Cricetulus griseus: one gene and its partners. The protein of the gene in region 1 interacts with the protein of each later gene in a pairwise test. Links are inferred from orthologs where the notes say so. Each region holds a gene or a part of one and is shown in the gene's direction. Other genes may lie near its edges.

Region 1 (6,070 bases):
GAACAACCAAGGACAGAAAAAGAAAGTCATTCATCATGGGGTCTGCCTTCTTTCACCAGGGCTCTGCTGGTGAGATGGACACTCCACTTTGGTATAACACCACAGAAAATCCCAGAGTACTGGTTGCTCTTGCCCCAGCTTGCAGAGTTATGCTGAGGGGAGGATGTGAGGGAAACTGAGGGGACCGGAAGCTGTTGGGCCCCTTTTCTACTAAGCACTCAGCTCCTGTGGTGGGGGTGTCTCTCAAGGAGACACACCATTGTTCCTGCCAACACCACTGCCTGGCTCAGGGATTCCATTGAGCACAGAAGATGGTGATAAAAGAAAGGCTTCTGGGTCACTACAGAAAGGACCTGACTTTATTTGCAGCAGGTTTTGTAGATTCAAGTCTAAGGGCAATTTCAAAAAATAGTGTGTGTGTGTGTGTGTGTGTGTGTGTGTGTGTGTGTGTGTGTGTGCTATCAAAGTGTTCCCTGCACAAGACAAGAGTGAGGGCCAGAGGTTGGATCTCAACAAACCCACGTCAATACCAGCTGGGCATGGTGATCTACCTGTAATTCCAGCCTAACAGAGGAACCCCAGAGCAAGCTGGCTAACAAGACGGACCATACCTGCAAGCTCTGGGTTGCGTAAGAGACACTGCCTCAGTGTTAGGGCAGAAGAGCAATGGAAGAGGATCAACATCAGCCCTCCACATGCACATGCACACGTTTGCAAGCACACCTACTCACCCACACCCACACTGCACACACAAGGAAATGGAAAAAGAAGGAAAAACAGTGGAGGGTTGTGAGAGGCCGTTCAGGGCAAGCTGATAGGGTCTGGAGGTATATGCTATACAATAAGCTGCCTTTTGGCCTGAGAGAAATTGTAAAAAGAACCAAAGAATCCTCCTGGAATCTGAAGGATCTCAAACACGGATTTAGTGGATAGTTACTTCAAAGTAGTCTCAGTCTGGGGGCTGGGCATCAGCTTATGCAGAACTTTACACTCTGGACTATTGTGGAAAATAAAAACTTAAGCCTACAATTCGTGGAGCTTCATAGCTAGATGTGCTCAAGGAGAGTCAGTCAGAGTCTTCCAAGGCCGTTGCTATACCAAAGAGCATAGGTACACAAGGTTGCCCAAGGGAGTGATAACAAAGGCTTCAAAACCCCAGGCTTCAAATGCCATTCACTAGAAAGCAACGAATGACAAGTAGCCCTGGAGAGTTGGGGCAGGATGCAGAGTGCTGAAACACATACAGTAAAATCTGCTTCTAATAAAAAAACTGAAGGTCAGGGGAGCAATAAAGTATGCCCAAGGAGCTGCCAAGAAATCATGTTTGATTGGGGTAAGGTTGCAAAAAGCTGATCCCTTTCCTTTGTACAAATAACAGTAACTGCTTTCCGGGTTCAAGTGTTGTTCTAGGCAGTGTGCTATTGAGCTGTCACAATTAATTCCGAAAGGCATCTATAACATCCGTTGTACAGAGGATGAAACAGGACATTCTAACCTGAACCCAATTCTGTCTGATATGGCTCAAGTTCTTAGCCAGAAAGAGCAGCGGTCTGTCGGTTTGTTCCCACTCCATACGTGAAACTACATGAGGAACAAAAAGACCCGAGGGACTCCCACTTGGAGTCCCTTGCTTGCTCCATTTCAAACACTAAGATAATACTGTGTCCGACAGATGGCGACCCAGAGCACAGCTAACAGCAGGCGCAGAAGAAGGCGCCGAAACTACACAGCCCACAATGCCGTGCGGAGAATCAAGGTCCCGCACTCCTGTTTGGCTGTCTAATCTAGTGCCTGTGCGCACTCCTGAGGGTTTGTGTGGACCGAAGCCGTACAGGTTCTCTTCCTGTCTTCATAGCGCAAAGTTTAGATATTTTTGATTCCTTATCCCGTCTTTGGTTGGAGAGTTGTGTGACTGAAACTAGGCTGTTCTTTGCTGGCCTCACCCTAGCCTAACGTGAGGACCCGTGACCTCTGACCCAAAATGGCAGCGCCCAGAGCGTAGCTCTTGCTGCTCCAAGGCGAACTAAGACTGAAAATCCCGCATCATGTCGAAGCTAAGCCGAGTCTCTCGGGCCCTCAGGAAGCCGGAGGCTGGTGGCGTGGTCCGGGCTATCGTGCGAGCAGGCCAAGCTATGCCTGGGCCCCCACTAGGTCCCATCTTGGGGCAGGTGTAGTGTCTGGAACCGGGCCCGGGGGACACGGAAGGCGGTAGCGGATAGATGGGAAGTCGCGGCTCTTCGCACCCGCACGCCTTGTGTCTTTGTGTTGCTTACGTAGCCTCTGTTGACCTCAGTTTCTCTGACCCTTCCCAGTTGGCTAGTTGCTGATTAAGTGGGACCTTGTGGACGAATCGTCCAGACACGAAGCTGTAATTGAATCCGGATAGAAGAAATATAGGAACACGGGAAATGAAGACGAAGGAGGGAAGGGACGGGCTCCTGGGTGGTAGAAACCCTTTAACTCCTACACTTAACTTTATGCTTTCCTCATAGCGAGGCGTCTCTATCAACCAGTTCTGCAAAGAGTTCAACGAGAAGACAAAGGACATCAAAGAAGGCATTCCCCTGCCTACAAAGATTTTTGTGAAGGTGCAGTCTCATTGTTCTGTAGTCTTCTTTGGCGCTTAAAACTAGTCGCCCGGGGTTGCTTCTCTGTCCCTAACCTGGTTGTCACTCTCCACTTTCCTCATCTACACAGTGAAACCTCAACCATAATTTCTCTGAACCGTCTTAGTCCTACCATATTTTTTTAAAGATTTTATTTATTATGTATACAACATTCTGCTTCCATGTATATCTGCACACCAGATCTCATAACGGATGGTTGTGAGCCACCATGTGGTTGCTGGGAATTGAACTCAGGACCCCTGGAAGAGCAGTCAGTGCTCTTAACCTCTGAGCCATCTCTCCAGCCCAGTCCTACTATATTTTGGCTCATATCTTTCATTTCATAGATGTGTGCTATGGTTTTGTGGTGTTAAAGACACCACAGGAAGGCAAGTTGATTTGAGAAGAAAAGGGACATTACAAATTCCCTGAACCTGAATAGAAAACCAAGAAATTCTCAATATCTTTCTTTCTATCAAGCCTGACAGGACATTTGAGCTTAAGATTGGGCAACCCACTATTTCCTACTTCTTGAAGGCAGCAGCTGGGATTGAGAAGGGGGCCCGACAAACAGGTAAGGACTAGAGTGGGTGCCTGAGATTCTGATGTGTCCAGAAAAAAAAGTAGTGACAACTGGAGCTTGTTCCTTCTTCCCAGGGAAAGAGGTAGCAGGCCTGGTGAGTTTGAAGCACATATATGAGATTGCCTGTGTCAAAGCTAAGGATGATGCTTTCGCCCTGCAAGATGTGCCCCTGTCTTCTGTTGTCCGTTCCATCATTGGCTCTGCCCGTTCCCTGGGCATTCGTGTGGTGAAAGAGTGAGTATCCTGAACGGTGCTGTGGAAAGGAAGCTCCTATTTGGGAGTAAAGTGAGAGGGCCCATTATAGTGAAATAGTCAGGTTTAAAAAAATTTTATAGCATGTATTAGTTATACATGATAGCTTTCATTATGATATTTTTATACATGTAGAGTTTTTGTTTTTTTGTTTGGGTTTTGTTTTGTTTGTTTGTTTTTTTGAGACAGGGTTTCTCTGTGTGTCCCTAGCTGTCCAAGAACTGGCTCTCTGGACCAGGCTGGCCTCGAACTCAGAGATCTACCTGCCTCTGCCTCCAAGTGCTGGGGTTAAAGGCATGTGCCACCACTGCCCGGCTACATGTAGAGTTTTTAAGTCGAAGGACCTGAGATTCTAGCAGAAGGATATGGGTGAAAGCCTCTTCTGTTCATTTGGAATATGCTTCATAAGCCCCTGTTATGTGCTAGACATGGTTCAGCACATTGGATATAACCAGAAATGAGCAGTAGTATTTGGCCACTCTGGAAAAATGTATAGTCCTAAGGTAGAGGCAGATCCATACATAGAGAATTAAACTGGCATTTGGTCAGTGTTGTTTAAAAAATCAGTGGATGTCATGAAAGCAGAGAGGAGAGTTCCTGCTTTTACCTGGTGTGTCAGTGAGGACTCTTTGAAGGAGATGACATCAAAACAGCCCAGGAAAAGGAGGGTAAAGGAGCAATGTTCCAAAAAGTGGGAAAATTGCAGTGAATAATGAGAGGTAAGGGGCTGAAGCTACAGGAGTCTTGTCTAGAGGCCGAGTGGGGCATGATCTGAAGCAGGGAGCAGTCGGGGAGGATCTTTTGAGCTGTCTCACATTCAGACTCCATCCTAAGGCCAACAGCTGTCCCAGTCAGCTGGCTTTGGATGATCTCAGGAATTGTTTACTTGAAGTAAATTGTAAGTGGGAGAGCATTTGACCCAGACCATGTCAGAGACTGGAACAGGGACGGTCATCACAGGCCTCTTCGCTGCAGATGTTATACTCCACAGCAAGGCTGGTATTGGCTGATCCTCAGGGAGGCAGTGTAGAGCACAGGTGGCCTTGATGTTTCTTCAGGTCCTTACTTTGTGGGGCATAGAGGGGAGTGTCTACATACAAGCCTATGACTCCCTCATGTGAAGTGTTTGTGGCTCAAAGGAAGGTCTAGTAAATCCCAGTAGTAGAGTAGAGGCCACTGGTTAAGTAGGCCCTTAAGATGGGAATCAAAGCTATGGGAAGGTGGAGTATGTGGTTGTCTCCGATATCTCACTGTATGGATCCAGGTAGAGGAAACCTGAGCAGAGATATGGGAGTTGGGAGTCCAGAGAGGGGAAGGGCAGCTGGGGTCTGTGCTAGGACCCGCCACTCACTAACCATCTTTGTCCACCTGCAGCCTCAGTGCAGAAGAACTGGCAGCTTTCCAGAAGGAACGAGCCGTGGTTTTGGCTGCACAGAAAGAGGCAGATTTGGCAGCCCAGGCAGCAGCTGCCAAGAAGTGATCCCAGCCTTCCACACTCTGGAATTTTGAAAGAAGAGCCGAGAAGAGAGCCTACCGAGAAAGCTGAACCAAAGGAGAGGAAAGGACTTCATGATTTATAGTTTCCTGACTTCTTATGTATATTTCCATACATATGGCTGTGCTAATGGGTCACGCTGGAATAAACATCCTTTGTTACCCACTCTCAATTTCCCTCTTGAGAACTCAGAGATGGGGACTAATACTGACAGTCATCAACCTTCACAGGTATGCATTGCCCCACAAGTGAGCATAGGCTCAGCCAAGCAGATTACCAAAGCTTGGTACTTTATAAAGAAAAAATATCTATTTGGCTTCTCATTCATGGTGCTGGTGTCTGGCAAGGGCTCTCTTGGCTGTGTCACAGCATGGTTTAGTGGAAATAGTCACATGCATAGGGCTGTCTATGAGAGGTAACCTCACTTGAAACAGTTTCTTCCTTAAAGCCAACAATAAGAAAGGTGGGATTCCTCAGCACCTTCCACTAGACCTCACTTTAAAAAAAAATTCATCTATTAAGCCAGATGGTGGTGGCGCACACCTTTAATCCCGGCACTTAGGAGGCAGGATCAGGTAGAGCTATCTGCTCAAGGCCAGCCTGGTCTACACTATAAGTTCTAGGACAGCCAGGACTGTTACACAGAGAAACCCTGCTTGAAAGACAAGCAAACAATAACAACAAAAAAGTAAATCTATTCATTTTATTTATTTGGTTTGTCTCCCCCCAGGCATGGTTTCTCTGTGTAGCCTTGACTGTCCTGGAACTTACTCTGTAGACCAGACTGGCCTTGAACTCACATAGATCCACCTGTTTCTGCCTTCTGAGTGCTGAAATTAAAGGGCATGTGCCACCATGGCCCAGCTCATTTTCTTTTATATGTGATTGTTTTGCCTGTATGTATGTATATGCACCATGTGCATGCTTGGTGTCTTAGGGTTTCTATTGCTGTGAAGCGACACCATGACCATGGCAACTCTTATAAAGGAAACATTTAATTGGGGTGGCTGCCTTACAGTTTCAGAGGTTCAGTCCTTTATCGTCATGGCAGGGAGCATGGCAGCGTGTGGGCAGATATGGCAGCTATACCTGAGAGTCCTACATCTTGCAGGCAACAGGAAGTCAACTGAAACA
Region 2 (6,056 bases), on another chromosome or scaffold:
GTAAATGACATTTTCATGGGCAGAACAATGCAGACATTGAATGATGACTAAATACAAAAAAAAGTTTTCTTGTGTTGTTGCGTGGGAGAGAAGTATGAGCAATATTTGCAAAACGTACACCAGAAAAGCATTTAAAAATTCTATGACTAGCTCGAGTACTTGAGTTCAAAGGCCACTCATAAGCTAATAGCATTCTTTAACAGGAAATAAAAGAATTAAGAACATTCCTGACAGTGAGCAAGAACCCTCTCAGAAAGCCTATACAATCTCCATAACTGAAAGTTACCTATCACCTTTCTGCTGTGAAATTTTGAGTGCATGATGTAATTCTAGGCATGAGCAAATTAGCAATAGGAATGCAGGATTTTATGGTATTTTGTAGAACAAGAGGAGCAAAAACAAAAAACGTTCATGATGCTTCTGTTTCCCGTCGGCCTCTAAATCTGCAATTGCCACGTTTATTAAAGATTCAGAACTGGAGAGGATCTTAGCAACCAGTGACAACTTACCTATCTTACATGCTAATTTTTTCTCCACTCTAACTATTAAGCAACAGTGGACTCAAGAGCAGGCACATTCTTGAACTCTTCAGTGGTTTTGCAGATAGCCACTGATGGAGTGCGTTCCTGTGCCCCTACCTGGCCTGTTCTTTGAGAATGCCAGCAAAAAACTCACGATCTCCCTCTCCTTGTCCCTTCTCCCTTCTCAAAGCGAAACAGGCTCGACACACGCACGTGATGCTAATGACGTCAGCCCCCACTGGGTCGCGTGACCCGCAGCCAACGGTCCTACTGCCCCACCCCCTCGCCACCAGAGTGGGACATCTCGCGAGAACTCTTCTTACTATCAGAACTTGCTGAGGTTACAGGGGATTTACTCAGGAGAGGAAGGAAGGTGTGGCAGAGTGCTGGACTTTTTGCTTTCATTATGTTAGGATTTATGGCCATGCAAAGGCTTATGGGGATTGCCCTAGTCAGGAAAACAAAGGGAGAGGAAGGTAAAGAGGTGACAGTAAAACCTGTAATGAAACGTGGCGCTCGGGCTGTCCTCACTCCTAGCTGAGGGACAGCGGGGCAGGGCAGAGGTGGCCTGGGCTGGCAGCCCCCGGCCGTCACTGCGAGCCGGCTCCGAGACGTGCGACCCGGGTCGGGGAGCAGTAAAGAACCGCGCCCAGAAGCAGAGGCTGCATCCCTCTCGGGCTTCCCTGGCACCGTGGCCGAGTGGCCGGCCTAGAGACGTCCCCAGTGTGCGAGCTGCGAGTCGTCCCTCATCTTCCCGACCCCTCGTGGGTCACTGCGCCATCCCGGTGCCCGTCCCCTAAGTGCGCTCCCCGCTGCCTCCGCACATCACCTCCCTCGGGTCTCCTTAGACGGCTGCGGGAGAGCAGCCCGGAGGGACGCGGCTGGAGTCGCTAGAGGGAGGTGTCGGGCCGGCGAGGAGGGGGCTTCGCAGGGCGGGGAGAGGCAGGAGGAGGCGCCGGGGAGGGAGGAGCTGCAGCGGCCAGCTTCGCCCGAGCCGAGCGCACTCTGTCTCCGCGCGGGTTCCCAGCCTCGGGGCCCCGTGGGGAGCGCGGGCCACCAGCGCCGCCTCCGCCTGCAGGAGCAGCCGGCCGGCTGTGGACTCTCGGGCGCCTGCCGCCGCCCCGGGCTCTGCGCTGAGCTCGCTCTGCGGCCTCGGTGTCACCAGCCACCCCTCCTGCCGGTCCCCCGACCCCTTCTGGGAGCGCTCTGCCCCGTGGCCGCAGTGGGAGGAGGAGGAGGAGAAGGAGGAGGGATCGCGGAGCGGGCTGGTCTGTCCACCGCGCCCCGCGCCCCGCCCCGCCCCTGCGCGCACTCCCTCGCGGGCGAGCTACTTTCGGACGAGGAAAGTGAGGGCGGCCCCCGGGTGACAGCGCGGCGCCGCCAGTCCCGGGAAGCCGCGTCTGTTCGCGTGTCGCCCGCCCGTCGCGCTCCCAGCGGCGCACTGTCCAGACCCCGCCATGGCTTCGACGACCACCTGCACCCGGTTCACCGACGAGTATCAGCTCTTCGAGGAGCTCGGAAAGTAAGCGTCCCTGCCTGGCATCTCCTCCCGCGAACCCCTGTCTCCCTCGTGGGGAGAGGGAGCCCGGAGGCCGAGGCGGGGTGACGGACCCCTGGCTTGGTGCGGGTGGAGCACAGAGGGGAGGAAACCCCTGCCCCTCTGTGACGGGTGTCTCGAACCCCCAGTCCTCCTTTTCGGGGTCTTCCGCCTCTCCACGGGAGACTTGGTGAATTTACGATCTCTGCAGTTGTAGCTGTCATCCTGAGAAGTGTGCGCGCACGCGAGTGTGTGTGTGTGTGTGTGTGTGTGTGTGTGTGTGTGTGTGTGTGTGTGCCGAGAGGAAAGGAGATGCATGCAAAATGCAACATTTATCACATTTACGGTATATAGATGTCTCCTGCTCAGCCTGCGGTCGGTGTGTCTGCCGTCTGACCCAGGTTCCGATGAGCTGATGAGCACTGGCTCTTAGAGACGGTGCCATATTTATCGATGCCGAAAGTTCTACTTGGCTTGGTGGAGAGTCTGGTTCGGCATCCAAGTAGCTGTTCTGTCCAGGAAAAGGGCCACCCAACAGAACCCACTCCCTTGCCCCATATCCGCTATCCTTTGCTCACCATCATTCTCACAGGCTTTAAGTACGACTATATCTTTTCTGAGAAGATTTATTTATCCAGGCAGCGGAAAAGCCCTCTGGAGCTCAGGAAAGCACTTCCCAAGGGTAGCCTAGCCTTGTGGTTGTGTGTCAAATGACCTCCTCCACTTAAGTGCCAGAACTTCTTGTAGATGTTAAGGAGGGACAGGGTACCTACAGAAGATCTGTCCAGGGGCGACCAGAGAGACCCAGCCGGGAATGCCGATTTACCAAACATGCAACCCCAAACCAGTTCCTCTATTGCCGATTTTCACTATTAGGGAAAAGATGCATTTGTGTGTGTGCTGTAGGTTCGTACAGCTGCATAAAAGGAAGTGTAAGCATTTTAAATGGAATGAAAATGATATCTTTATAGATGATCTGCTGTTTGAAACATGGAGACTTGTCGGAAGAGCAGCTTAATTCAAATCTCTCCCCTCCCCCAGCCCAAACCAGGCAGAGAAATCACCTTACCCCAGGAGCTGGTAAAGCACACCAGTGAGCCCCAGATTTATGTTTTAATGGAAACAATCGCCATATTTACTTACTTGGAGCCACGTTAATTATTCTTCCTATCGAAATAAGCAGGCAGGAGATTATTTTATTTTCCCCCTGTTCCTCGGCTCTGCTCTTTGCAGGGTTTGCTATGAGCATTTGGTGTTTTGTGAGTGTGAATTATGAAATGTTTTCAAATTTCATGTGCAAACAAGAGTGGTCATAATTGGCATTTCCTTTTATTTTGTTGGTTAATAATGTGTGTTTCCAGTCAATTAAAATTTAGTTTTACTCCTCAACATTTAAAAGGGATCTGGGTTTGCCAGGAAGAATTGTTCATTTTCTAGAAAATGCTTATATTATATTGATATTTGACAGATCGCTAAAGACACGTACATATGCTCAGGTTTGTAAGTTTCTAAGTGGATACTAGGTCTGATTATACTGCTGACTTGCTAATTATTGGTTTCCAGGGGGGCATTCTCAGTGGTGAGAAGATGTATGAAAATCCCTACTGGACAAGAGTATGCTGCCAAAATTATCAACACCAAAAAGCTTTCTGCTAGGGGTGGGTATTTTAAACCACATTTATTTATATATGTTAATTTTGTATTTGTTGTGTAGATTGGTGTTGTCTTGTAAGTAAATGTAGCATGCAGTTATAACTGAATTTTAAACTTAGGAGTCATATTATGTACTGACATTTTTTCCTTGCCAAATGTCCCTTGGTCTGTATACTTTGATAGGAAATGAAAAATATATAATTGTTATGGGTAACATAAAATGCTGTCGTATGAGCAGTAACATAAATAAATACTTTGCAAAGCATATGAATGTCATGAAGTGCATTTTGCTGTTAGCTCTAGTGTGAAATAACTTTCAGAAGGATCCTAGAATGGAAAAAAATGTAAGTCTCATAACTGTCATAATTCCCTTTCACTTTTGAGATGAAAAACAGGTCATGGTTCAGTTGAATGTATATTGTAGTTGTAGTTACAGCTGAACTTAATACATCAAGGTATATTTAACCTCAATGGCTTTGGGAAGAAAAAAAAAAGATCACTGATGTAATCTAGGAAGCTAGCTTAATTTTGATGTACGTAGGTTAGGCCTTTAACTTGGTCTTGGAATTAAATTTCCCACCAGAGCATACATTATATTTACACCTGCAGTTTATAGCCATGGAGATAATTGATAATTAAAGCTGTTGACATAGTTTTTTAAAAAGCAACTTGGAGCCATGTGCTCACATTTTTTATATCATATTTTGTTTAAAATTATGCAAAAGCACATTTACTGAAACACTGGGCTTTGCAGTAGCTGCAGGCATGTGTCTAAGGTATTTTCATGGGAATTTATGGTTTGATGAAATTAAACTGAAATCAAAATGAACAAAACACCGTACAGCATCTCATCTCAGTGACCTGGTTTATTTTAAGTAATGAGAGGAAATTCCATTAGAGTTAGTTTTTCCTCACTGAATATATCTTTTAAGACATGCCACTTAAGGATGTCTGGATATCATTGCTTTTGTCCTTTGCTGTGGTAAAGGGATTTGCAAATGCTACTTTTAAGATGTGCTGTAGGTTTCAGGATATTGACTCACTTGAATGGAGTTCGGTTGCAATTTTCTTCATCTGGTTTGCTATAGTTCTGAGAAAGAGCTATGTGCTAGCACCATGGAGTCCTGGTATGAAAACTAATGAAGAGCGAGCTATGCTAATTACATTTCCCCTGCCAGTCTCCACTCCACTGGAAGGTGTTGTAAGAATGACAAGGCAGTGTAGAGGTATGAATGCCAGGTTAAGGGAAAGAAGAAGGCTGAAAAACAGACTTTTTCCAGGCATTGCGTTATTTCTTCTGGTGTGATACACACTTTGGCAGTGGTGGGCTATCAATTTGGGGGGGGGGGGCGGTGTTACCATGCCTATTCCAAGCTTTTTAGTGACTTTAAATTTCCCCTCAGAACAACAGAGACTGGTAGTCACTTTTACTAGCTTTATTAATTAGAGTCAATAATTTTTAGGCTCTTCGCTCATACTCCTTATATCGCCCTGGCAGAGAATCAGTCTCACTCACTCCCTTCTCCTCCCTGGGAGAAAAGTGCCCCTGATTGGCTCCTGCACTCTCTTCTCTGTAGAGCCCCCCATCTGCTCTCCATGAGCTTCTCTCTACACATCTCCTTCCTGACTCAGAAGGTGTTCTCTTCCTTTGCTACTTTTTAGTTATTCAGTTTTCATTATTTTCAGTTTTATATACGTGTGTGTGTGTGTGTGTGTGTGTGTGTGTGTGTGTGTGTGTGTGTTATACATGTGAGTGTAGGTGCCCTGGAGGCCAGAGACATCTGGTCTCCATAGTTGTGAACCCTCAGTCATATGTAGCAGGAACAAATCTCTTGGTCCCTGCAGGAGCAGAAGATCCTTTATCTGCTGAGCCATCTCCAACCTCTTCCTCTGAGTTTTTGTTTTATTTATCCCCCCCCCAAGAACATCATCTGTCCTGGAATGATAGACTCTGGGCTTCAGTCCTGATTCCTGTAGCTGCTAGCCCTGTGATCTTAGGCAGTTTATTCATTTTAATCTGAATCTCAGTCTTTCCTTCTGCAAAATGGGGTGAGATGGAGCTCCTTTGTAGGCAAATCCACAAGCACTGGATATATTAGGATACACTCACAGAAACACAACAACCTGCCTCCATCAGTCAGCAGATTAATCACCTCCTCTATTGGGCCAGATATGTCAAGGTTGTGGATGGGGGGAATACCCACTGCATGCTTTCTCACACGGTTTTGATTGATCTGATTGGCTTAGTGTAGAGTGTAGAGTGGTGCTTGTCACCTAGTGTGCTCTCTGTGAATATCAACTGCCACTATTATATGGTAGGACTGTAGTAATGATGAAATTGCATT
Region 3 (6,034 bases), about 62 Mb from region 1:
TTTTTGGTTTTTCGAGACAGGGTTTCTCTGTTTCTCTGTGTAGCTTTGGAGCCTATCCTGACACTCGCTCTGGATACCAGGCTGGCCTCAAACTCACAGACATCTGGCTGCCTCTGCCTCCCGAGTGCTGGGATTAAAGGCGTGCACCACCAACACCCGGCTCTTATTTTTCTTATAATCACAAATCTCTAAATAGTAAAATGATTTTTCTACTGAATCAAGTTACCAACATAATTTTTAGTTGAATATAAGAGAGCAGTTTGTAGACATTACAATTTTGGTAAATAACTTAAAAATAAAATGGAAATGGATGTGTGGGGTGGGTATATGTGTGTGTTTATATGAGCAAGTGCATGTATGTGCATGTGTGTGTAAGGCCACATTCTAATGTCAGCTCCCTTCATTGATGGCTTTTCCCCTTATTCTTTGAGGCAGAGACTGTCACTGAACCTGGAGCTCATCAGTCGGGTTAGGCTAGCTGATCAAAGAGCTCCAGGTACCTGCCTGTCTCTGTCCCTCACCCATCTCCCAGTGCTGGATTAAAGAGGCATATTTTAATGATCTGAACTCCAGTCCCTGTGCTTGTGTGGCAGACACTTGACTGACTGGGCTACCTCTCCAGCCCCCAAATGCATCTTTTAATAAAGTGAATGGGACTTTTTGTTTGTTTTTTAAAAATTCATACCCAAGTATGAAAATATCACATTCTAGAAATGCAACATGAATGAGATTTTGTATTTTTTTTTTAAATTTTGTCCATGCAAACACAGAGTGACCATGCTCACCTACATAAGTAGGTGGGAAGGGAAGCAATTTATAACAATGCCAGTCCGTTCTGACAGTTCTTCCTGAAATACATGCCAAAATTGCATAATGACCTATCATGAACATTTATTTTAAATAGTGTGTCAGCTGACAACTTGATTAAATCCTCCTGCAATTTTGTGGGAAGCAAAGAGCTGGAAAGCACTTACCTTGAAAAAATTTTTTCTTACCCATTCATTAATGTCACTCACTGTCAGCATCGATACCTATACTTCAGATTGTCCTTTTGTCTAGTCTCCTGGAGGTTTTATTAGAATCCCAAGCAATGAAATCTCACTGTGCAATGTAATAGTCAGAATGAACAGGAAGTATATTTTTGCTTTTATAATAAAGAAGAGAAGGACTGTTGAGAAAAGAACCTCACATGCTGGCTCATTCCCAGGCAAAGCAACCCAGAGAAATATTAAATACAAACCCAAGAATCTAAAAGCTGATAACTCTTAATAGTATCTGTGCCTGCATTCCCCATGGAAAGCCTCATACACATGCCATGGGGAAAAGACCAATATCATCAATCCCATCTTTTGAAAGAGCCTGAATATGAACAAAAGAGAGGCAGAGATGGTAGCAGGAGGGAAAGGTTAGTTTTAGGCTGGTATCATGCACACTATTATTCCACAGCTTGATTACCTAAAATAACCGATATTTATCATCTTACATATTTTGTGAGGGCTGAGGATTGAGACAAGGTCTTCCAGGTGACTCCACTTCAGGGTGGTACTCCCCAATGCACCTTTCTTCAACAGGGTCCCAATTCCCTCTGCTTGCTAGCCAGCCTGTGTCTCCGTGTGTTTTTCTTGATTGTTGAACAATTGTGAGTCACCTCCAGCCCAGACAGTTTGGTGAATTTGTTTGCCATGATGCAGGCTTCGACCATAACTTCTTTGATGAGATCTTAACCCATAGCCTTCTTGGGAACTGATGTTGATCTCTTCTTTGTCCTAGGATCCACTGACTGTCTGAGAAGGACTGTTCTGTATCAATGGAGCAGGAAGCAGGGGAAGAGCCGGGGCTGGGCAGGTCAACAGCCCCCAAAGACTTCCACTTTTATCACATGGACCTGTATGACTCTGAAGACAGGCTGCAGCTCTTCCCAGGAGAAAGCAGCAGAATCAGGAGAGAAGTAACCCAGGCTGAACAGACCAATGAGCCGAGAGGGACAGTGGACAGTAAGAATCTTCAGAAGGAAGTGGACGAGCTTGTCCATTTATATGGACTTGAAGATGACCATGAGTTAGGGGATGAGTTTGTTGATGAACACAGACTGGGGACTCTGGGGTATCCTTCTTATGGGATGAGGAGGAAAGACTCAGCCAGAGATCAGAGAGGCTGGGGGCTTAGCAGTGAGGCGGCTGAGGCTGAGGAGGACCTGGGCTATGGAGGGCAAGGCCTTCCTGGCCAGTGCCAAGACCTTCGGGAAGCCTACAGGTATACACATGGCCGTGCCAGTGAGGAGTATGAATGCTACGTCATCCCAGAGGAGGAAGATGAAGAAGAGCCTGCTGATGTCTTCTGTGTCACTTGCAAAACTCCAGTAAGAACTGTTGAGAAGGATTTTGAAATACACAAAGAACATGAAGTAACACCACTCAACAAAGCACTGGAAAGTGCCAAGGTAACAGGTCTCCTTCCATCTTTGTCTGGAGAGTATTTGTGAGTCTCAGGGAGGTGGGCAGGGAATACATCCTGAATGCCTCAACTAGGATGGGATGGGGGACTGGAGAGATAGCTCAGCCGTTAAGAGTATGGTAGCTCACAATCACCTGTAACTGTAGTCCCAGGGGATCTGATGCTATCTTCTGGCCTCTGTGGTCACCAGACACACATATGGTATACAGGCATACATGCAGGCAAATGTCCATACATATATTTTTTTAATTTAACAAAATTAAAACAAACATAGCATTAACACCTTGTTTGTTCTGTTCCACAGGATGAAATCCACAAAAACATGTTCAAATTGGAACAGCAGATCATTGAGATGGAAAATTTTGCTAGCCACCTGGAGGAGGTGTTCATTACAGTGGAGGTAAGAACATACTTGGTATTGGGGCTGGAGAGATGGCTCAGAAGTTAAGAGCACTGCTTGTTCTTCCAAAGGTCCTGAGTTCAATTCCCAGAAACCACATGGTGGCTCACAACCATCTGTAATGAGATCTGGTGCCCTCCTCTGACCTGCAGGCAACATGCAGGCAGAACACTGTACACATAATAAATAAATAAATAAATAAATAAATATTTTTTAAAAAAGAACCTACTTGGTGATTTCATCACACGTGTAGCTTCCATCCGTGGCCACAATAAGCAAATGGTATTTCTTTTCTTTTTTTGAGACGGGGTTTCTCTGTGGCTTTGGAGGCTGTCCTGGAACTCACTCTGTAGACCAGGCTAGCCTCGAACTCACAGAGATTCACCTGCCTCTGTCTCCCAAGTGCTGGGACTAAAGGCGTGTGCCACCAACACCCGGCCGCTATTTCTTTTCTTTTTCTTTCTTCTTTTTGTTTTGTTTTTCCAGACAGGGTTTCTCTGTGTTTCAGCTCCAGCTGTCCTGGAACTAGCTCTTGTAGACCAGGCTGGCCTCAAACTTACAGAGATCCCCCTGCCTCTACCTTCCGAGTCCTGGGATTAAAGGCATGTGCCTCAGACCTATTTCTTAGAATGTGAGGTGTCACCTGTCCCCTCCCTTCAGCTCTCCATAGATTTTACACACACACACACACACACACACACACACACACACACACACACACATACACACACACATACACACACACACCGGGTAGCTACAGAGGTGATGGTCACTTGTCTGCATCCCCTACTACATTTACTATGTCATCTAGGTGGGAGAGGCTGGTGTGTGTGTATCTCCAGGTCTGTTACACTGGATGTTTCAAAGCAAGTGTGTTTATACATGTTTATTATATGGATAAATAAAGCAGAAAATTTCCAATCAAAGTGCCAATTGCATGGGGTTTAGAATTTTTTTTTAATTCCAACAATGAAAACTATGGTAGCCCTATCCAGATGGTGAAATGAACAGTTTTCTTCTGTCCTTGAAGCTGGTGTGTGGTGGGGAACATATATGTGTGTTTGTGTGTACCTGTGTATACAAGTGTACATACACATGTATGCTCATGCATGTGAGGCTCAGAGGTCAAGTTTGGGTGTCTTCCTCAGCCACACTGTACCTTATTTTTTGAGACTGGGCCTATCACTGAAATTGGAGTTCTCTAATTTGGCTCACCTGGCTGGCCAGCAAGACCTGGAGATCCCCGTTTCCAGTCACCTCAGTGATGGGATTACATAGGATCACTACTGCACCTGGCTTTTTATATAGGTGCTGGAGATCCAAATCCAGGCCTTCATACTTGCTTGGCAAGCTCTTTGCCCCAACTGAACCACTTCCCTAAACCCCTGCCCCTGATGGGCTTTTTGTTTGTTTGGTTGTGTTTAGGTGGAAGTCCTACCTGCCTCTATATCTATTCAAAGAGGTTGGAATGTTTGGTAGCCTGTTTCAAACCCTGCCCTCAGGTTGCCAAGGGCAGGCCATCCCCTGGAGTCACCTAAGTCCAGACTCTACCCCTAAAAAACCTACCATTGGTGGCCCCACCCTGGAGGATGTTAAAATCCCAATCTCTGGATGCAGCTCCTAGTTCCTGGTTTTCTCTTCTCCTGGGGCCACCCAGGAATGCTTTGCTCAGATTAAACCTGGATTTATTTATTTGGTCTGATTGGTTTATTGTAACAGTGGTAGGAGGTTTCCAGTAACCTTTCCACTGACTGGGAATTTTAAACAAAACAGGTTGCTTTTGTCCTTTTCTTTCTCTTGGTCTCACCTTGAGATTTCCTTGGGTCCTATCTGATGTCCTGCTGTATAACCAGACATAACGGGTTTCATGCTGTTGCTTTGCTCTCTGGGGTTTTTACTTTGAGGTTTTTGGGATACTGTCAAGTATTAAATCAGGTGTGAATTGTCAAAGTTTCCTCCCCTTTGAAAATGTTCATTGTGCATATTCATTGTACACACTGTTACATCAGGACATTTTCACACATGTATATAATGTGTTGTAATTCCTCCAACTCCACTCCCCTCTTTCATCTTTCTTGTTCCTTTCCCCTTAATATTCTCTGCTACCTAGACACTTTAGTGGCATATGTACATACATGATCTTATGAATCTATGTAAGATTTAGGAGCCACAAATAAGAGAGAATGTATATTTGTCTTCTGAGACTAGCTTAATTCACTCATTTTGACGGACAGGTAGGTTATCTCCACTGGCATTCATTTTCCTGCAAACAGTTCCATCATGTATAAATACATGCTCTTTACCCATCCCTCTATTGATGGACACATAGCTTAGTTCCACAACTTAGCTTTTCTGAATAGCCTCAATAAGCATAGATGTGCAAGTGTGTGTGGCAGGCTGACTTGGACCAAAGTCATTTTAAAAAAGCAGCTCAAGAGAGAAAGATGCCATAGAGTTCAAGTGGAGGGGTTTTATTAGGATAAAGGGATCATAAAAATCATAAAAAGGGGAAAGGGAAGCGGGGAGACTGGTCTCTGGGGACAAGAGCAGCAGGAGACAGACAGACAGACAGACAGACAGACAGACAGACAGACAGAGGAAGAGAGAGAAAGAAAGAGAGGAGGCTGTCCTGGAACTCATGCTGTAGACCAGGCTGGTAGTCAGGGTTTTTTTTTTTTTTTTTTTTTTTTTTTTGGTTTTTCGAGACAGGGTTTCTGTGTGCCTATCCTGGCACTCGCTCTGGAGACCAGGCTGGCCTTGAACTCACAGAGATCCGCCTGCCTCTGTCTCCCGAGTGCTGGGATTAAAGGTGTGCGCCACCAATGCCCAGCCAGTCAGGACCTTTTTTAAAAGGGAAAGTAGTGAATGGGCACAGGTGATGCTCTTAGTGGCAGCAGCTGAGGGCATATTCTGTCAGAAGCCCAAGGACAGGCCAGTTGAAAACTAACAAGATACATTTTCAGTTTTTGAGGAACCTCCATACTAATTTCCATGGTGTCTGGACTAGTTTACATCACCAACAGAGGTGTATGTGGATTCCCTTTTGTTCACACACTCACCGGCATTTATTTGTTGTAGTTGTCCTGACCCGCAGGACAGAAACCTAGAGCAAGAAGTCCAGGGAGGGGAATGGAGACAAGAGACAAGAGAGAATGACCACAAGATAGGATTCTGATCAAG
Region 4 (6,081 bases), on another chromosome or scaffold:
TCTAGGATGAGGCAGACTAGGGGAAGCTGGATGCTCTGTCTGTGCCACTAGGGGAAAGCCATTATGCCAGCTGAGCAAAGACTTCCAGGTGCAGCCTTTGGGGGAGGAGCACCCAAAATCCACAGGTAATCCGCCACCTAGACTCAAAAATAAACTCAAAGTTTGCTCAGAGTGAACTTTGGAGGAATCATGCCTGTTTGTCCATTTGCTTTTGGGACCTTGTAAGGAGGGGTAGTCATTGCTTACTTCTCCTTCCTGGGAGTGAATTTTAGCAGAAGCTGATTACACAATGTTTTTCAATTGTAAAATGAGGCAGTTAAGACTAATGCAACAAACTTCTCTTGAAATTCTAGGATCAAGTACAATAAACAGCATAAGAGTGAGGGTGTTTAGGTAGATGATAGTGGGACTGGGAGAGGGGGTCCTGAAAGATAGCCTGTTCCTGCTTGTACAACTTGATGTCGTAAATCCCTGTTTCCAGTTTTCCTCATAGAGTATAAGTTTAGAAATAACAGAATGTCTTTATCTTGGGGCAGTAGAATGTCTTAACTCACAGCCAATCATGAGATCAATCGTGGGACCTTGAGTAATCTGAAAAGGGGTTCCATATGAAGTAACAAAAACAGAAACAAAACCCTGTCCCTGTATTTTGGTAGCTGTCTCCTGATCAACAGAATGCCCAGTTGTGGATGAATGTCTCGATGCTGCAAATGGGCTCTCCCTCTCTCTCTCCCTCCCTCCCTCCCTCCCTCCCTCCCTCCCTCCCTCCCTCTCTCTCTCTCTCTCTCTCTCTCTCTCTCTCTCTCTCTCTCTCACACACACACACACACACACACAAGTACTAATTACTCCAGGGCATTTTCCCATGGTTGCACTAAAATGCAGGGTGGGAAGCCTCAAAAGACCTCAGTTTCATACTATTATTAACATTGTGGTTTTAACCCATTTCCTTTGTGGGTTTTGCTAGAGCAGCATAGGAAGAAATAGAAGACTTGGTTAATCATGATGTGGAAGCGAAAATAATTTAAATTTAAATTTCTAAATTTACTTTGACCTACATAGATTACCTTTCTCTGTTAAATGTTCAGTTTCAATTGGAACCCCACATAAGCAAGTGTATTCTATCCGGATTCATAATGTTCCTGTGTGGGAATATTATTTACCTTACCTCATGAATACAGTACCCACAGCATTCATAAATACTTCTTTAAAACCCACAATGCTGAACCCAAAGTACTGCTCTCTCCCTTTGGAATACTTTTGCTAAATAACTTTTGCTTCAACTGCCTATGTCTCAACAGATTGTTTCCTTTTGGAGGACAAGCATGGAGAGGCCCCTGTAAAATTCCTGCCGTCAGTGATTTCAATACATAAGAAACAAATGAGTCAGCAAATATTAAGGCCCTTTCTCATGGAGGCCAAGTGGACTTGAATTATGTGGAAAATGAACATGAAGGCAGATTTTATGTGTTGTTGCTGTAATGTTTAATCTGTTACCTCTTCTTCGCTGGTGATGCTGTAAGTGTCATCAGTTTTATGGCAACACAGGAACGTGATGGTTGAGCCCCTGGTCTCTCCAATAGTTCTTGGGGGTTCTCTAGACATTTAAACAGATGTATTGACACAAACTGATATTTAAGACCCAGGTCGCCTCTGGGCGATCCTTCCCACCTCGCCGGCAAGTTAATTAACTTGTCTTAAGCGGCCTGTGTTTTGGGGTAACTACTACATCACTGAGCGAAAGCCCCAGAAGACAAGCAAGCTGTCAGGAGGAAATCCACCAAGAACTCCCCTCCGCCCCCCCCGCAGCGGGCGAATAGGGCGTGTCGTCACGGAGCATGCGCAGAGACGGTGGCGGAAACGGGCGTTCCTAGGGCGGAAGTGACGCGACGCCGGCTTGGGGCTCAGAGGCGGAGTTGCCGGTCCGTGGTGGCGGAGCTCCGGGGCTCCGGAGCGCGGCGGAGCGCGGCGGGCGGAGGCCCTGACGGGTGAGGCCTGCGTCTGGGCCGCGTGCCTGGCGGGGGGCCCGGCGCTCGCGCCCCGTCTCGGCCCTGGAACCTGGGCCTGGCGCGTGTTGGTACCGTCTCCGTGGTGACGGAGCGCTCCTTCCCAAGGACAGGTTTCCCCGGGCCGCGATTGTGACGTGTGCGTGGGCCCGAGTGGCCAGGAGACGGGGAGGCGCGGCGGAGGCGGGCGAGCTAGGCCGCGGCGAACCGGGGTCTGCCGGGCAGGAGGCCGGTGGGGAGCGCCCAGGGTGGCCGACGCCAGGCCGCGGCGAGCCGGGGAGGACCCAGCCGGAGCCTGGACGCACTGTTTTGGTTTGAGTGGCTTCTGGAGGAAGAGGCGGGGACGCCCTGCTCCGCCTCGTTCTGTGTTTACGCGTTTTGGCCTGATCTCTGGCTTCACCTGGGCGAAGAGATTAATTAAGTCTTGGGGTTTGGAAAGCCGCCCTCCCCACAGATAAGGCTTTACGAAATCTTGGGCAGGGTGACTTCGCTCTTAGGCTGTCTGGACTGCTTTCACGGCTCCGCCTCCCTCTCCCGACCCCTGGGCGACGCTGCCCTGTGTTTGGACAGGTACGAAGGTGGTGCCGGGCAGGTCTGTGCTGTTAGGACTTAGCTGGCGTGGACGCCTGTATTTCTCTACTGAGAAATACGAAGGACAGTTTGTTCCTCAAGAGTTTTGTTGGAAAACGCGGTGGCATTTGACTGCGATACATTTCCGGCTCTAGAGCTGCAAGTTAGTAGTGTGTTAGAAACTTAGGTGGAAAAGTTTTCATCGCTGCTTCCCGCCAGCGGTGAAATTTCGTGATCAGTACAGGAACAGATACTAATTAATCTTTTAGGGTTCAACCCAAGAACATTTGAAAAAGATTATTTGAATAACATTTGTTAAAGTGGGCTGGTTGTGGGCTTAGGAGCTTTAAGGTGCTCTCCAGGTGTGGAGACGAGGCTGAGGCCAAGCGCTGGCCTCCATTCTGATCTCTGTGTCCTTCCCGAATGTTAGGGTTACAGGCAAACAGCACCACCTTGGACTTATAAGTTATATGATTTCTACAAGAATATATTTGACTATGCTGGAAATGACTTGTTAACTACTACCCCCACCCTGCCCATCCTCTGTTAAATTTCAAACAAAGTCGTTTTCAAATTGTTACATTAGTTGCATACTGTTTGCTTTTACGATTGTAGCCATGTATGTGAAATTTAACCAGTGAATGCATTTTCTAGGACAAAATAACATCCTTGCATTATTAGTTGCAATTTTTAAAGAGTGCTGTTTAAAAATAATTATTTAGGCTTATTTTATGAGTGTTTTGCCTGCATCTGTATATGTGCATCATGTGTATGCCTGGTGGCCACAAGTCAGAAGAGGGTGTCAGATCCCCCTGGACTAGAGTGATGGATGGTTGTGAACTACCATGTAGGTGCTGGGCACCGAACCAGGGTCCTCTGCAAGAGCAAAAAGTGCTCTTTACTGAGCCATCTCTCCAGCCCCTAGGATGCTAAGTTTTTATGCTTGATCCTATCTATACATTTTTATTTATATACATTTGCACTATACAGGTAAGGAATTATCTGTAAAGTTTATTTTGACTTATATATTGCCAAGGTCTCACTGTGTAGTCCTCGCTGTCCAGGAACTCTTCATGTAGACCAGGCTGGCCTTGAACTCAGATCAGCCTGCCTCTACTGGCCTTCTGAGTGTTGGTATTGAAGGTGTTTGCCATCAAGCCCAGCCTCACCTGTAAGGTTTATTAGATTGTTTTCTTTTGGAATGTCTGTTAGTATCTAAAATTTGGGCTTTATGTACTTATGACTCTAAAGTTTACACTTTTCAATGAGCCTTCAAAATTACAAATTTCCTGTTCTATATACCTGTGGGCCAAGAGCATAGTATTTTAGAAACGAATTTATGAAAAGTTAAATCAGGCCTGATGTTTTATCACCTGGGATTCTAGCGCTTGGGAGGCTTAGTTGGATGTGTGTGTGAGTGTGTGTGTGTGTGTGTGTGTGTGTGTGTGTGTATGTGTGTATGTGTGTATGTGTATGTGTATGTGTGTGGGCGGGGTGTCATATGCTTGAGGCCAGCCTGGACTATAGTACATAGAGCCTTTCTCAACAGAGAAAACAAGTACAACTGGGTGGCAGCTGGGCAGAATGTAGGAATACTCAGCTGTGAAAGCACTGGAGATAAAGATGTCTTCAGCAATGCAAATTAACAAGGTCTTTGTTTCAGCCTCCTAGAAAGTTGACTGATAACATCTTTCTGAGAGTATGGTATTCTACAAACTAGGCAAAGGAGCTGAAGAATGAGTAAGGGAACTACCAGGCTATTTTTATCCCCATGAAGATGTATGTATGTATGTATGTATGTATGTATGTATGTATGTATGTTATTTTTGAGACAGGGTCTTGCTATGTATGTAGCCTTGGCTGTCTGGAAGTTAACTATGTAGGCCAGGCCTCCTAAAACTCAGATCTGCCTGCCTCTATTTCCCAAGTGCTGGAAATAGGTCCTATTTTTGTAACTGAAGATTTTTAAAAACATTGGCTGTCAACCATTATCTTAATTATGGTACTTTGCAAGGGTACAAAGTGTTCATGCAGTGTTTTCTGTTGAAGACACACAGACACGGGGCTTTTTATTGCCAGTTTGCTTTTATTGACTTTATTCTTGAAATTTCTGACTAATAAAAGGACTAGGAGAAGTGAAGTTGGAATTTTTTTTCTGTTATTTTATTATCCCCCACTCCTGGAGCATTTAAATCAAATGCTAGAAATCAAGCCTTTTCACTCTTAATTAGTAGCTAACTGATAATTTTTTAAAAAGACTTTAATTGTATCACACAGCTCTTTTGGAAGCTTAATTGATAGGGTAGGTGAACTATCTAAACTTTAAAAATCCAAGTTTAGCAGGACGGTGGTGGTACACACCTTTAATCCCAGTAATCCGGAGGCAGAGGCAGACAGATCTCTGTGAGTTCAAAGCCAGGCTGGTCTACAAGAGTCAGTTCCAGGATAGCCTCCAAAGCCACAGAGAAACCCTGTCTTGAAAAACAAAAACAAACAAAAAACAGGTTTAAGCCGGGAGTTGGTGATGCATACCTTTAATCCCAGCACTCTGGAGGCAGAGGCAGGTAGATTTCTGAGAGTTCAAAGCCATCCTGGTCTACAGAGAGTGCCAGGATAGGCTCCAAAGCTACATAGAGAAACTCTGTCTCGAAAAATAAACAAAAAAAATTTCAAAGTTTAACTTCATATGGAGCCACTGGAGGAAATACTACCACAAAAGGCTGCTCTGTTTGGGGCTTGTAAAAAAGCCCAAGAACAGTAAAGATGATAATGAAATGCTTTTAGCTATTTGCTTAGCTGAATGCCTACTGTCTCTTATTTACCTCTAGATATTAGTGAATTCTAGAAATAATAAGATTGGGTTTTAGTGCAAAGATGGCATAGAGTAATGATTCTCAACCTCCATAATGCTGCAACCCTTTAATACAGTTCCTCATGTTGTGGCCCAAACCATAAAATTATTTTTGCTGCTACTTCATAACTGATATCTTGGCACTGTTATGAATTGTAAATATCTGTAATATCTGAAAATGTTTTCTCATGGTCCTAGGTGACCCCTGTGAAAGTGTCAGTTGACATCCAAAGGAGTTGTGACCGGCTGGTTTAGAGTGTCATAGAGTGTAGTTTACAGCCTGACACACATAAAGGAGTTGTGTTGGTATTAGAACTTTGGGACTGTGGTAGGAAAAGTTCACTGTAGCATTTCAGGCATTGGTTTCTAGACATATATGTCAGACCCTTCAATTAGTTAGTGACTGGGAGTTTTTTATTTACCTTTATTTACCTTTATTACCTTCTTTCGCTTAGTGTACTTGTTTCTTAGGTGTGCTTTAGAGACAAGGAAGTAGAGTCCAACTAAGCTTGGCCTGTCCTTTGCTCTGGGTGGTAGTGAAACTATACTTGTCAGGCATTACCACATGGTGATGCAGTGACTTTGTACATTGCTTCTCCACTGGGCTTTCATGACTTTGGCATCCTTGCTGAATTCCAGTGTTTCTAGTAGCTT

What was found. The genes of interacting proteins can lie anywhere in the genome.
Region 2: the proteins of Mrpl11 (region 1) and calcium/calmodulin-dependent protein kinase type II subunit delta interact in binary tests that used the Homo sapiens proteins (3 or more experiments, as listed by UniProt). The two-hybrid records come from large-scale screens. The link is inferred for Cricetulus griseus from reciprocal best matches to the Homo sapiens genes MRPL11 and CAMK2D.
Region 3: the proteins of Mrpl11 (region 1) and Fsd2 interact in binary tests that used the Homo sapiens proteins (3 or more experiments, as listed by UniProt). The two-hybrid records come from large-scale screens. The link is inferred for Cricetulus griseus from reciprocal best matches to the Homo sapiens genes MRPL11 and FSD2.
Region 4: the proteins of Mrpl11 (region 1) and Tax1bp1 interact in binary tests that used the Homo sapiens proteins (3 or more experiments, as listed by UniProt). The two-hybrid records come from large-scale screens. The link is inferred for Cricetulus griseus from reciprocal best matches to the Homo sapiens genes MRPL11 and TAX1BP1.

What each region holds. Positions count from the first base shown.
Region 1 is NC_048596.1:54,325,322-54,331,391, reverse strand, and holds Mrpl11 (39S ribosomal protein L11, mitochondrial), read left to right. Parts: upstream 1-1,955; 5' UTR 1,956-2,045; coding exon 2,046-2,168; intron 2,169-2,492; coding exon 2,493-2,588; intron 2,589-3,086; coding exon 3,087-3,180; intron 3,181-3,263; coding exon 3,264-3,423; intron 3,424-4,815; coding exon 4,816-4,921; 3' UTR 4,922-5,108; downstream 5,109-6,070.
Region 2 is NW_023276806.1:32,179,664-32,185,719, reverse strand, and holds the start of calcium/calmodulin-dependent protein kinase type II subunit delta, read left to right. Parts: upstream 1-1,829; 5' UTR 1,830-1,978; coding exon 1,979-2,043; intron 2,044-3,621; coding exon 3,622-3,716; intron 3,717-6,056. UniProt on the Homo sapiens protein: Calcium/calmodulin-dependent protein kinase involved in the regulation of Ca(2+) homeostatis and excitation-contraction coupling (ECC) in heart by targeting ion channels, transporters and accessory proteins involved in Ca(2+) influx into the myocyte, Ca(2+) release from the sarcoplasmic reticulum (SR), SR Ca(2+) uptake and Na(+) and K(+) channel transport.
Region 3 is NC_048596.1:115,970,281-115,976,314, forward strand, and holds the start of Fsd2 (fibronectin type III and SPRY domain-containing protein 2), read left to right. Parts: upstream 1-1,807; coding exon 1,808-2,440; intron 2,441-2,758; coding exon 2,759-2,854; intron 2,855-6,034.
Region 4 is NC_048601.1:88,622,415-88,628,495, reverse strand, and holds the start of Tax1bp1 (tax1-binding protein 1), read left to right. Parts: upstream 1-1,854; 5' UTR 1,855-1,988; intron 1,989-2,424; exon of another isoform or gene 2,425-2,576; intron 2,577-6,081.